Canis lupus familiaris: one gene and its partners. The protein of the gene in region 3 purifies or fractionates together with the protein of the main gene of each other region. This does not show direct contact. Links are inferred from orthologs where the notes say so. Each region holds a gene or a part of one and is shown on either strand. Other genes may lie near its edges. The genes, in order: REPS1, AP2B1 and AAK1.

Region 1 (4,429 bases), on a different chromosome or scaffold from region 3:
AAACAACAAAAACAATCCACAACAACTTTGTGGATTTTCCGTGCTTTTTGTTCTGGAATTATAGGGAAAGGACTGGGAACCTGTCCTGATTTCCTCCCATGGGCCATCTATAGGATCAGAAAACTCTAGGGAGCAACATAGAGAAGACAAAATTAAAAAAAAACCAAAATGGAAGAATCTGTGTCACAAACAGCCTTAGCTGTTGTTTTTGAAATATTTCATATTTGCTAAGCATAAACTCTTCAGTGTTGTACGTGGGCCATCTTAGGATCTCCTCCCAGGGCGGTGCCGACGGGCGGCTATTGCGGGGCAGGGAGCCCTGAGGTCAGCCCAGGCCCGCACGAGCGAGGTCACCAGGTCGGCCTCGCGCGTAGAACAAAACCTACGCGCCGGTTTTCCCCTCTATTCCGCAAATTCTGTTTCTCAGGTAAACATGGTTTGGAGCGAGAGCGGCAGCTGGAGCTCAACGTTCCCGTCAATCCGGGAGTTCCCAGGTAGATGGAATCTTCCAGGTAGCAGGGACAAAGGCCCAGGGGCAGGAAAGACCTTAAAGGCCTAGGACAGGTGGTGGAGGAAAAGATGCTGAAGGCAACTGTGATCCAATCCCTACCCCGTTGCGCTCCTCTTGTCTACACCTTTGGAAGACAAGCCATCTGTAGGGGCGCACAGGGATACTGCGTTTAGCCTCCGCGACACCGGACCTCTAGGGCGCACAAACAGATACAACGATTACCCCCCGAGCACTGTTCCTCTTTCAATCAACGCTCATTCGGCCTCCAGTGCCCGGAGCTTCGAGGCCATCGAAGCGCCCCGCCTCGGCGTCCCGGGGCCGCTGCTGGGGGCCCCTAGCGCGGCCGCCTGGGGCTGCGGTCGGCGCGGGCCTCCCCGCGGGGCTCCGGCCGCCAGGGGGCGCTGCGGCCCCCTCTCCCGGGAGCGGCCGAGCCCGCCCGGTGGGTGTTTCTCTCCCTCTCGCGCTCTCTCCTCCCGGCCTCACATCCGGGTCTGGAGCGCGGCGGCCGCTGTCAGTGTCGGTGCGGGCGCGTCGGGGGCCGGGCCGGGCGCAGTAAATGGCGGCGGAGGGAGGCGGAGCGGCGGCCACGCTCCGCTCACAGCCCCCGAAACTTTAGCCGCGAAGCCCCACAACTTTCCGGGAAGCGCCGGCGCTCCGGGGGCGTGGACGGAAGGGGAAGCCGAGGCGGGGAGTCTGGGGGGAAGCGGCGCGGAGCCGGGGAGCCTCGAACCCGCGGCGGGGGCGGGGGCGGTGGCGGAGTCCGCCCGAGCCTCGCGCCGCCGCGGCCCCCGCCTCCTCCTCCCCCGCGCCCTCCCCTCGGCCGCGGAGCCGGAGCCGGAGCCCGAGCCGCAGCCGGAGCCGGAGCCGGAGCCCGAGCCGGAGCCCGAGCCCGAGCCGCGCGCCGAGCCGAGCCCGGGACCGCGCGGGGCCTCGCGGGCGGCGGCGCGCCGAGCGACCTCCGGGCCCTGTTGCTCGCGCGCCCCCCGCGCGCCGGAGGCCGGGGCTCCGCGCGGCTCCGCGGGGCGAGGAGGAAGCCGGGGCGCGCGCGGCCCCCGCCGTCCCGGGGTCGTGGGGCCGGGCCCCGGGTCTTGCATGCGGGGCGGGGCGGGGCGGCCGTGAGCCGGAGGCGAAGATGGAAGGCTTAACGCTGAGCGATGCGGAGCAGAAATACTACTCGGATCTCTTCTCCTACTGCGACATCGAGAGCACCAAGAAGGTGGCGGCCAACGGGCGGGTGCTGGAGCTGTTCCGGGCCGCGCAGCTGCCCAACGACGTGGTCCTCCAGGTGACGCGGCCGCCCCGGGGCTGGGCGGGAGGGGGCCCGGGCTCCCCAGCAGCGGGCTGGGGCCGCAGGTGCCCGGGCGGCCCGCGCTCGCGCCGCGGCCGAGGGGGAGGGGTCGCTGTTGGAGGACAAAAGTCACGCCGGGATCCGGTGCGGGTGCGGGTGGGGGCGGGGGTGGGGGTGGGTGGGGGCGGGGGTCTGGGTATTCTCTCCCAAGAGCCAAGTCCGGGGTCTCGCGGCTGCCCCCCAGACTCTGCTTTTCGACGCGGGAAGAGCGACTTTGAGATGAAGGATCTTGCATTGCTACCGTGTCTTTGAATCCTGGATCCTGCAGAGTAGTAAAGTTATCGGTGTAGATAAATTTTTTTTTTTTTTTTTTTTTTTGATTCTTGAATGAGCCAGCAGATGGGACAAAGTGGGGTTTTGTAGGACTCGAAGAAGCAGTTTTCTTTTAAGGAAGCTGAATTCTTTCTTGGGGAGATCAAAAATTTGGACTTAGAGCTAGTCGTCTGCAAATAGATGTGGAAAGAACTTGCAGCTAACTATAGGACATGTGACTGATGTAAACTGGACAGTTTGCGATTGGCATTCGGTAACATTTGGTGGAACTTGTGGGTTTGGGCTGGGAGATGAGTATTGAGCCAGCTGTTAAGTCAAACGTGCATATTTGTTTGCTTCAATCAGATGTGTAGCACTAGAAAAGCAAGCAGTAAATTTTAAGCTTTCTCTATCACGTCTGTTTTTAAAATAGAAGGTTTCCTAGAAGGTCTTATCTAATGTATGTGGTGAACATTATTGTTACTGTTTAATGATTCATAGCTGCTAGTCTGTCTAAACAGCATATCTGGGGCAGGTTTTAAGCTTTCATCTTTATCATGATCCAAGCCACTTACCCACATCTCCAAAACTTAAAGCCATATGCATAGGTATAATGTAGTATACTGCAGAGGGCACTGAATCTGGGTTTTTGAGGCCTGGGTCTTTGACCCCATTCTGTTGTTAACCAGCAGTGGGACTTTGGGCCAGGTACTTTCACTCTTTAAGCGTAAATCTGCTCATCTAATGAATGAGAGGTTCCTTCTGACAAAAATTTTGGAAGTATAAAAATGCCCACGAAGGTCTCTGTTTTAGAAATTACCTGTGTGTTAACTATGACTAAGTTGAATGCGTTCTTTTTGCATAATCTTATATGTCTCATATTGCTTTTTAAAAAGTTTTGGGAGGAAAAGTTGGATGTCTTAGATACCAACAGCTAGGAGTCTAAAATTTGTGCTGCTGTAAAGGGACAAAAATAAAATATTTTAGGCTTTGCTGGCCACATACAGTCTCTCTCGAATATTCTTTGTTTTTGTTTTTGCGACCCTTTTTTTTTTTTTAAGATTTTATTTATTCATGAGAGAGGCAGAGACATAGGCAGAGAGAGAAGCAGGCTCCACGCAGGGAGCCCGATGTGGGAATCCATCCGGGGACTCTGGAATCACGCCCTGAGCCAAAGGCAGACGCTCAACCACTGAGCCACCCAGGTGTCCCTGAGACCCTTTAAAAATGTAAAAAATATTCTTAGCTCGGGGGCATACAAAACAGGGTTGGGAGGGTCTACAGTCTGCTGATTCTGGCTAAAAAATGGTGGGAGCTTTGGGATACCATACTCTCACCTCTTATGCCTTTGGAGTTAGACTTTTAGAAAGACGTCTGGTCAGAACATGCTCATTAATTCTATTGCCCTTCTTTGTAGCAATAGCAAAACACACTTTCAAGTCATTTAGGAACTAAACGAGAAACTTTATGAGTTCTGTTTTGGTTTATGTTTTTGGGGTGGAGGGAGCTAAAATAAACAGACTTTCATATTTTTAATGGTGCCAGAAAACTTTAGGACTTTTAGTGTATTATTTAAGATAGACACATTAGTGTTAGTTAACCTTTGCTTGAAATCTGTTTAATCAAGTTATTTTCACGTTTTGCTCGGTTTTATTAACATTCAAAAGTATATTTCTGTTGCTTTTCAGTATAAAGAAAGGACTTACATAGCATAAATATTCAGGATTCAGTTACAAGCTGGAAGCTGTAGGAGCTCGCTGAAGCAGAACTAAGTATTTTGGGTATATTTGAAGGCAGTTTACTTAAAAACCGGCCTAAGACATAAAATGTGAGACAAAAGGGGAATATGGATTTGATTCTCTTGAGAATTTGGGATTGTCTGAAAACACAGCCTCCTGTTGCTAAGCGGGAGACATTTGAGTCAACTCAAATACATTAAGTTAGCTACTTAACTGGGGTAGGCATCACAGGGCATCGAAAGAGGAGTAAGAATCTCTCAAGGACCTTGTAAACTACAGAAATACACATATGTGACATAAAGTACCATGTGAATGCCATAGGAGAGGTACAAAGGAGGTGTGATCAGGAAAGTCTCCTTGACTTAATTGAGATGGACTTTAAATTAGTATGGCGGTAGGGCAGTGGGATGAAGGACTTGCAGGCAGAAGAAAACATGATAAAAGGTGGAAAGTGTAGGAGCCTTTTCAAGGGGTAGCAGATAGTTAGGTTTTGCTGAAGCTGGAGTGTGCCTTGGGGACAAAGGAACATACAGTTGAAAGAGACCATATTAAGAAAGACTAAGGAATATGCAGAAGATT
Region 2 (3,649 bases), on a different chromosome or scaffold from region 3:
TACATGCTTTCCTGACTCCCACTCCTCCTAATGGATAATTTTAAAGCAGATTCCAAACATAAAGATGAAAAATCATTTCATCCTTGTAAGATCTCCTTTTAAGATTTATTCATTTGAGAGAGCAAGAAAGTGAATGCATGTGCAGGGTTGGGGATATTTGCAGACTGACTCGGGAGTGGTACACGTTTTTCCAATTCCTCATTTTTTTCCTGTTGTTAAGGCACATACAGTAACAGCCATGGTGATGGTAATACCAGTTGACTTCTGCCTCACCCTGGAATGAATACTACTGGGCATTTCTTCATTGTGTTTGTAAAATAGTTAAATGAATTCCTAACCTAAGCTCTTAAATAGGCAATTAAGATTTGTACTTAGGAAACAATAGTATGGGGGATTAGTGTCTGATACAGAGTGTAACTGGAAGCTTACATAAAGGAAATGTTCTTCTGAGGCTTGTATAAACTAGACTGTTTACTTTTTAGTCACCATGTATACCTGTAGTTGTCAATGATTTTTTTCTTTTTTTCTTCTTCCTCTTCCTCTTTTTCTTTTTTCTCTCCTCTCTCTCTCTCTTTCTCTTTCTTTCTCTCTTTCTCTTTCTTTTTAGGATTGTGAAGATCCCAATCCTCTAATTCGGGCCTTGGCAGTCAGGACCATGGGGTGCATCCGGGTGGACAAGATTACAGAATATCTCTGTGAGCCTCTACGCAAGTGCTTGAAGGATGAAGATCCCTATGTTCGGAAAACAGCAGCAGTTTGTGTGGCAAAACTCCATGATATCAATGCCCAAATGGTGGAAGATCAGGGATTTCTGGATTCTCTGCGGGATCTCATAGCAGATTCAAATCCAATGGTAATAAGCTTCTGCTTTTATAGAGAGCAGTACTTAAAATGCATCCCTTTAAAAAGAATGTTTATTTTATTTTTTTTAAGATTATTTATTTATTTATTCATGAGAGACACAGAGAGAGACAGAGGCAGAGACACAGGCAAGAGAGAGAAGCAGACTCCATGCAGGAAGCCCAATATGGGACTCCATCCTGGGTCTCCAAGATCACGCCCTGGGCCGAAGATAGCGCTAAACCTCTGAGCCACCGAGGCTTTCCTAAAAAGCATGTTTATTTTTATTTTAAAAATTTTTAAAGATTTATTTATTTATTTATTCATGATAGACAGAGAGGCAGAGACACAGGCAGAGGGGGAAGCAGGCTCCATGCCGGGAGCCCGACGCAAGACTCGATCCTGGGACTCCAGGATCATGCCCTGGGCCAAAGGCAGGCACCAAACCGCTGAGCCACCCAGGGATCCCCTAAAAAGCATATTTAAAACAAATCTTGTCTCTGGGATATTGAAACAGATTAGCTATGAGAAACATGAATTCTGTGTGTCCCTCAGATTATGTCTCACACATTAGTTGTTTTCTCAAGTGAAAACCAAGTGCTACTAAAATACAGGGGTCTTAAAGCAAACCTTTGTATCATACCTACCCCTGTGTTTGCTCAGAAACCTTGGCTCTTTAATAATTTTTTGAGTTTTACCTTAAATTTATATATATCTATATATAGATGTATATATATATATATATATTTTTTTTTATTCATTCATGAGAGACACACAGAGAGAGGCAGAAACATCGGCAGAGGAGAAACAGACTCCCTGCAGGGAGCCTGATGCAGAACTGTATCCTAGGACCCCAGGATCACATCCTGAACCGAAGGCAGATGCTCAACCGCTGACCCACACAGACGTCCCTATATCAGTTTTTTTAAAGATTATTTCTTCAGACGTTTGTGGTCTTTTCTGGTGTGGGAGTAGAAACAAAGTTTTATTTATTGCCTAATTATTGTAATGCATTCTTATACAGGAAAATTCTAAGACAAAATTCTTTTTGACAATTAATATTCTAAGTGTTTGGCAGCTAGAACATAACACTTTAAAGTTTGAGGACCTTTTATTTCTCTTACTAATATTTTTAACTTTGTCCATATAATGAAGGGGAGAAAGTCCCAAGTGGTATGTTGACTCTGCTAGTAACTGGAGCTCATTTGAATGGAGTGATTGATGACTAGGTGCCATTATTGAGAAGATGGAGGAATAAGGCCTCCCCTTTTTGCCTAATGCACTATTTACTTGGAGGTGAATAACTTTGAGTTAATCACTGGATAACCTCTGAATGCTTTCTTTGTTGTTGAACTTTTTGAAATAGAGTTGGAATTTGCCTTGAAATAGACATTGTCTCTTACTTGCAAATCATGTGCTCAGATCTCTGCTTTAATATTTCATCTGGTTCATCTTATTCTTTGAATAGCCTTGGCTTTTATTATCTTTCAAGTTTAGCATCAAGGTCAAGGGATGAAGAAAACCACGTTTTGTTTTGTTTTGTTTTAAGGTACTGTAGTACCTATCATTAGGAATCTTTTAGCCATGGGATGCCTGGGTGGCTCAGCGGTTGAGCACCTGCCTTTGGCCCAGGGTGTGATCCTGGAGTCCGGGGATGGAGTCCTGCATCGGGCTCCCTGCATGAAGCCTGCTTCTCTTTCTGCCTGTGTCTCTGCCTCTCTTTCCCTCTGTGTCTCTCATGAATAAATAAATAAAAATCTTAAAAAAAAAAAATCTTGTAGCCACCTTCCAGGCACAGAAGCTGGTGCAGGTATATATGTGCTTAAACCATGACTTCTGATAGGTATCACCACCAGCATTAGAAGATTCAACCTTTCTTTTTTTCCCTCGAGTAAGACCATGTGGCACTTTTTTTTTTTTTTTTTAATTCCATAAGGAAAGATACAAGGCATTAGTATCTATTTTATAGAATGTTTAGCTGGTCCCAAGTTGTGTTTTGGTGTTGCTTTTGAGTCACTCTTACCCTGAGCCACTGTCTTTGAAATTTTCTACTTGAGGACAAATGAGAAGATAATAAGTGTTTGGGCTCCATGCTCCAGGTTTCAGGCTTCCAAATAAACAGGATATCATGCAATCCATGGAAACTTGTTAAATACCCAGTGGGGCTAACAATGTGCAGTGGAGTGAGGTGAAAATGAATTATAACTCATATAGGTATTTCCAGTTTAGGGAGAAAAAGGCATCTTTGCAATAATGTAAATTTCTTGAAATAGAACCTGTAAAATTAGATGGTCAGGGATAGGGGCTAACTGATGGTTTAATAAAGAATTTTTGTTCGTTTGGTACCCAAGCGCTTAGATTTTTGTCCAGTTGAGAGGATGGAAGGATTCTGGAACAAGCCTAATTTGACCTATTTTAAGTTTTTATTGTGGAGGAAGGACTGGTTTTTGTCCAGCCCACCATATTCTCAAGTAATATATGTGTTTATACATATGTTTACTTTTTATTATTGGAATTTTCAAACGTATTCAAACTTAGAGTGACTAAATGAAAACAATAGATAAATAAAATGAGCCCATTTATCATCATCTGTTGTCCCCCGTTTCATACTTACACATATGTGATTTAAACAGGCAACACATCAATGGGTCTCTTTGAATGTAATAAAACACTATAATAAACTATAATACTCTTAAAATTTCTTAACCTGTTTTTACAAATCAGGAGGTGATTTGGAGAGATTTTCACAATTATCTTTGAGAAAGCTTTAGAGAAAATTTAAGATTACTTGGTAGATTTTGAGAAACTT
Region 3 (3,649 bases):
AAAGCTGTAACTATGTTCCCTTGGGTAAGGTACCTATACTTTCTCAGCCTCGGCTTCCTCATTTGTATAATGGGGAGGATTATATCTACCATCTAAGATTTTTAAGAATTAAATAAGGCACAAGTAGGCCCTCAACAAATGTCAGATGCTCCACCCACATCTGCTTCTATTTTTTTTCAATGCAACCACACCCAGGACCCAAACTATCTCAGGATTTATAACCCATAATGGTGAAAATTGAGATGCTAAATCCCTTGACCAATGTGAGGAGATGATGAAATATTTCTGTCTCATATTTTAGTACAAGGGCTTTTGCAAAGATTACTTGTTCCACCATCTGGTTAATGAACTAGTACATATGCTTGCCATGATGATGCAAAAGAGTGGGGGAATCTTAAAAAAACATCTGAAACAAAGCACTGAGTTTAAATGCTGGTTATCAAAATCCAGTGATTAACCTAAAGAGAGAAAAAACCTAGTTCCATGGAGTTATACAGTCTTAATTATGTATTCACTCCAGCCAACGCATGGCAATCATTTCAATTTGTGTTTCTTCCAGTTTTGCAAAGATGAATTTCTTATCACTTGATAGGAGTCAGCTGGACTCTTTCACACTGACTGCAAGAGAACAGAGCAGTAATGTACTGCTCAAAGCACAGTTAGGATTTCTGCTCAAGTGCAAAAGAGCTTAGATTTACAGCAAAAAGACCTACCACTCTAACTAGACACTGTTATATTTATTATCTTTGAGTGACCAACCATTACCCACTGATTTATCTTTGCACCCAACCCATCACTCCTGCGATCCAGTCTCTTTGTTCCCCCAATTCATTCCTGGAGATAAGAGATAAAAATATGAAACTAGAAACTTGAAATACTTACTAATTAGGCAGTGCATGTCTTGGGAATATCGAGAGTTATCAGGAATTGTGAAGTTTCCATCACAAATTGCCACCTGACTCTCTCCAAATGGCAAAGTGAAGTAGCATAATTTATACAACAAACATCCAAGAGCCTAAAAAAATAAAGCAGATTGCTACGAGTGGTTTATTTACCATTACTGCAAACGGGTCTACAGAGAGAGAATGGCATCATCCACATTTACTAGCAGATATAAAAACTACGTAACTACTCACCTACTAGAAACTTGAATTTAGAACTCAACACCACTATTTAGCTGCTGAGATACATTATTTCTACCATCATTACCAGATGGTGCTCCAGTAAGGAACAAGTATTTCAGCTATTTTGCTCTTCAGAACTAGTAATGCATATATGAAAACCACCTAAATAATGGGCAGGTCACCTGAATAATTCTCACATAACTCTAAAGTAATTTCCTTTGACATGCCTCACGAAGCAGTGGCTGGTCATCTGGAGTGAAGATTAACCCTGAGGGTAAGTAGACAGTGGTATGGTACAGTGGCCACTCTCGCTATGGCACTGTCTGGATTAAACTTGGGAATCTACAGTCAAGACAGCTGGTATCTGAGATGCGGATAGGTTAGTTGACACCTACCCAAATGTCTGCCTTCGTAGTGATGATTTTGCCACTGTACAGGTTGACCATTTCTGGTGCTCGATAGGACAGCGTTGTGTATCTACAATCAAGAGATTTGGTTTTTGTTAAATATGTCAGTGCTATAATTAAAAACCAGGGGTAGCAGAAATACTTTTTAAAAACATATATATTGATATTAATAAAGTCTAGTTCCCTGGGAGCCATCTGCAGAAGAGAGTATGAAATATTAGTGCAGATAAAATGAAAAGCTGTCCTTAGCACACACCCATGGCCCTCTGGAAGCGGTCCTTCTATCTGAGGGCATGTGGAGACCCAGACACTATGGCACTTCAGTAAACGCTAAAAGCACTTTTCTTGGGTCCTCAAATGATAAAATCTTCCCCTGCAAATCCTTGTTGTCTGATGCTATATTGATACTGTATTTTCTGATTTGTTTTTAAGAACACCGATTCCCTTAAATGTGGCTCAACACAGATAATGTAATCCTGGCTAAGACACTGGAGAAGAGCAGAGAGTGGGTCCTGGCTGGGGTGGGAAGTGGATGAAACAACAGTTTTCCTCTTACCTCTGGCTCAAGTAAAGATAGTATAAGCTCAGCTTCAAAGTGAGGGTCTTGATGTTACCAAGCATGTGACTTATGATGCCCAGTTTGGCTGCCAGGGGTGACCCAGGAAAGGAGACTGAGGATGAGGATACAGGTGTGCATACCAGACTGCTGGTTTATTAGTAAAATTAGTGAGTGTCGTCACCTGTGAAAAACCTCACCCTCTGGACAAGAGGGGAACTTGGGTCAGGTTCTAACTAGAGCCAGAAATCTAAGGAAGCTTCTTCTCATCAAAGTCAGTGATTCGGTACCTGTAGAGCCTTCATAGCCCTACTTACCATTAATTCCACTAGATTGGTGAGCTCCTTAAGAGCAAGAAGGAGAACACAGCAATGTAGGGTTCAGTGAAAAGCACATCCAACTGACTGATAATGTCACAGTTGTTGTGATTCCATTTAAAAACATCACAGTTCCTCTACGGTTTGTGCACCATTCAGCTTTGTGAGGGCTGTGTGACATGTCAAAATATGTACGTACAGTGATCGCTGGACCACTGATAAAGTGCTGTAGGAGTCCTTCACTTTACTGACCAATGCTTGTGGACCCCTTCCACATCTTGCACCTAAAATCAAACAATCCAACCGCCAATGCGATGCTCTGAGACAAGGGGCAGCACGACTAGCACCATGGCCTTCCCACCCTGACCTACTCATCCTTCAGCTGAAAATACGGCTGCTGATCCGGTAATGGACAGAACTCCAAGAAAGGAGGAAAAGCTTACTTCTTAATCTCATCTTCTACTGCATTGACGCCCTCAGTTTGTGGATTCTGAAATTTGTTGGTGGCGCTTCCAAAGTCACACAGGACGTAGTGGCCTCGGTCATGCAAGAGGATATTTTCAACCTGAAAAACATTCCCCAACCACTCATTCCAAGATATTACTTTTTTAAATTTTTTAATTTAATTAATTAATTAATTAATTTATTTATTTATTTATTTATGACAGTCACAGAGAGAGAGAGAGAGAGAGGCAGAGACACAGGCGGAGGGAGAAGCAGGCTCCATGCACCGGGAGCCCGACGTGGGATTCGATCCCGGGTCTCCAGGATCGCGCCCTGGGCCAAAGGCAGGCGCCAAACCACTGCGCCACCCAGGGATCCCCCAAGATATTATTTAGCAATGCATATGAAAATTTGGTTCATAGTCGTATAATTATTTTATTTCTGATAATCCCATTAATATGCATAGGAAAGTTATTCCCCCCAAGTATCTCGACAAGGATCATCCCCAGGGAACAAAAGGCAAAGCACGCTGACAGGGTGAAATGAGAGTAGAGGGGGGCAAATAGAGGAATTCCACAATGGGGAAGTAAAAAGCCTCATTTTCTTAGATTTCCAGCCACATTTCTCACCTCTGCAGAAACACTCCTGATACTTTCAAGCCTCTGTATGTTTTCTCATGTTCTTCTTTCAGTCTAGAATGCTCTCTGTGGCCCCCACCTCATACCCAACCATCAATATCCCATTCATCTTTCCAACTCCAGTTCAAATGCCCCCTCTTCTTTGAAGCCTCCCTCAAGCACC

The links.
Region 1: the proteins of AAK1 (region 3) and REPS1 purify together in Homo sapiens (affinity purification with mass spectrometry; 3 studies listed by BioGRID and IntAct, counting the BioPlex papers as one, with this or other methods). This does not show direct contact. The link is inferred for Canis lupus familiaris from reciprocal best matches to the Homo sapiens genes AAK1 and REPS1.
Region 2: the proteins of AAK1 (region 3) and AP2B1 purify together in Homo sapiens (affinity purification with mass spectrometry; 4 studies listed by BioGRID and IntAct, with this or other methods). This does not show direct contact. The link is inferred for Canis lupus familiaris from reciprocal best matches to the Homo sapiens genes AAK1 and AP2B1.

The regions. Positions count from the first base shown.
Region 1 is NC_049222.1:31,452,224-31,456,652, reverse strand, and holds the start of REPS1 (ralBP1-associated Eps domain-containing protein 1), read left to right. Parts: upstream 1-1,562; 5' UTR 1,563-1,643; coding exon 1,644-1,796; intron 1,797-4,429. UniProt on the Homo sapiens protein: May coordinate the cellular actions of activated EGF receptors and Ral-GTPases.
Region 2 is NC_049230.1:38,021,479-38,025,127, reverse strand, and holds part of AP2B1 (AP-2 complex subunit beta), read left to right. Parts: intron 1-607; coding exon 608-853; intron 854-3,649. UniProt on the Homo sapiens protein: Component of the adaptor protein complex 2 (AP-2). Adaptor protein complexes function in protein transport via transport vesicles in different membrane traffic pathways.
Region 3 is NC_049231.1:69,533,267-69,536,915, forward strand, and holds part of AAK1 (AP2-associated protein kinase 1), read right to left. Parts: intron 2,970-3,649; coding exon 2,848-2,969; intron 1,602-2,847; coding exon 1,520-1,601; intron 1,016-1,519; coding exon 883-1,015; intron 1-882.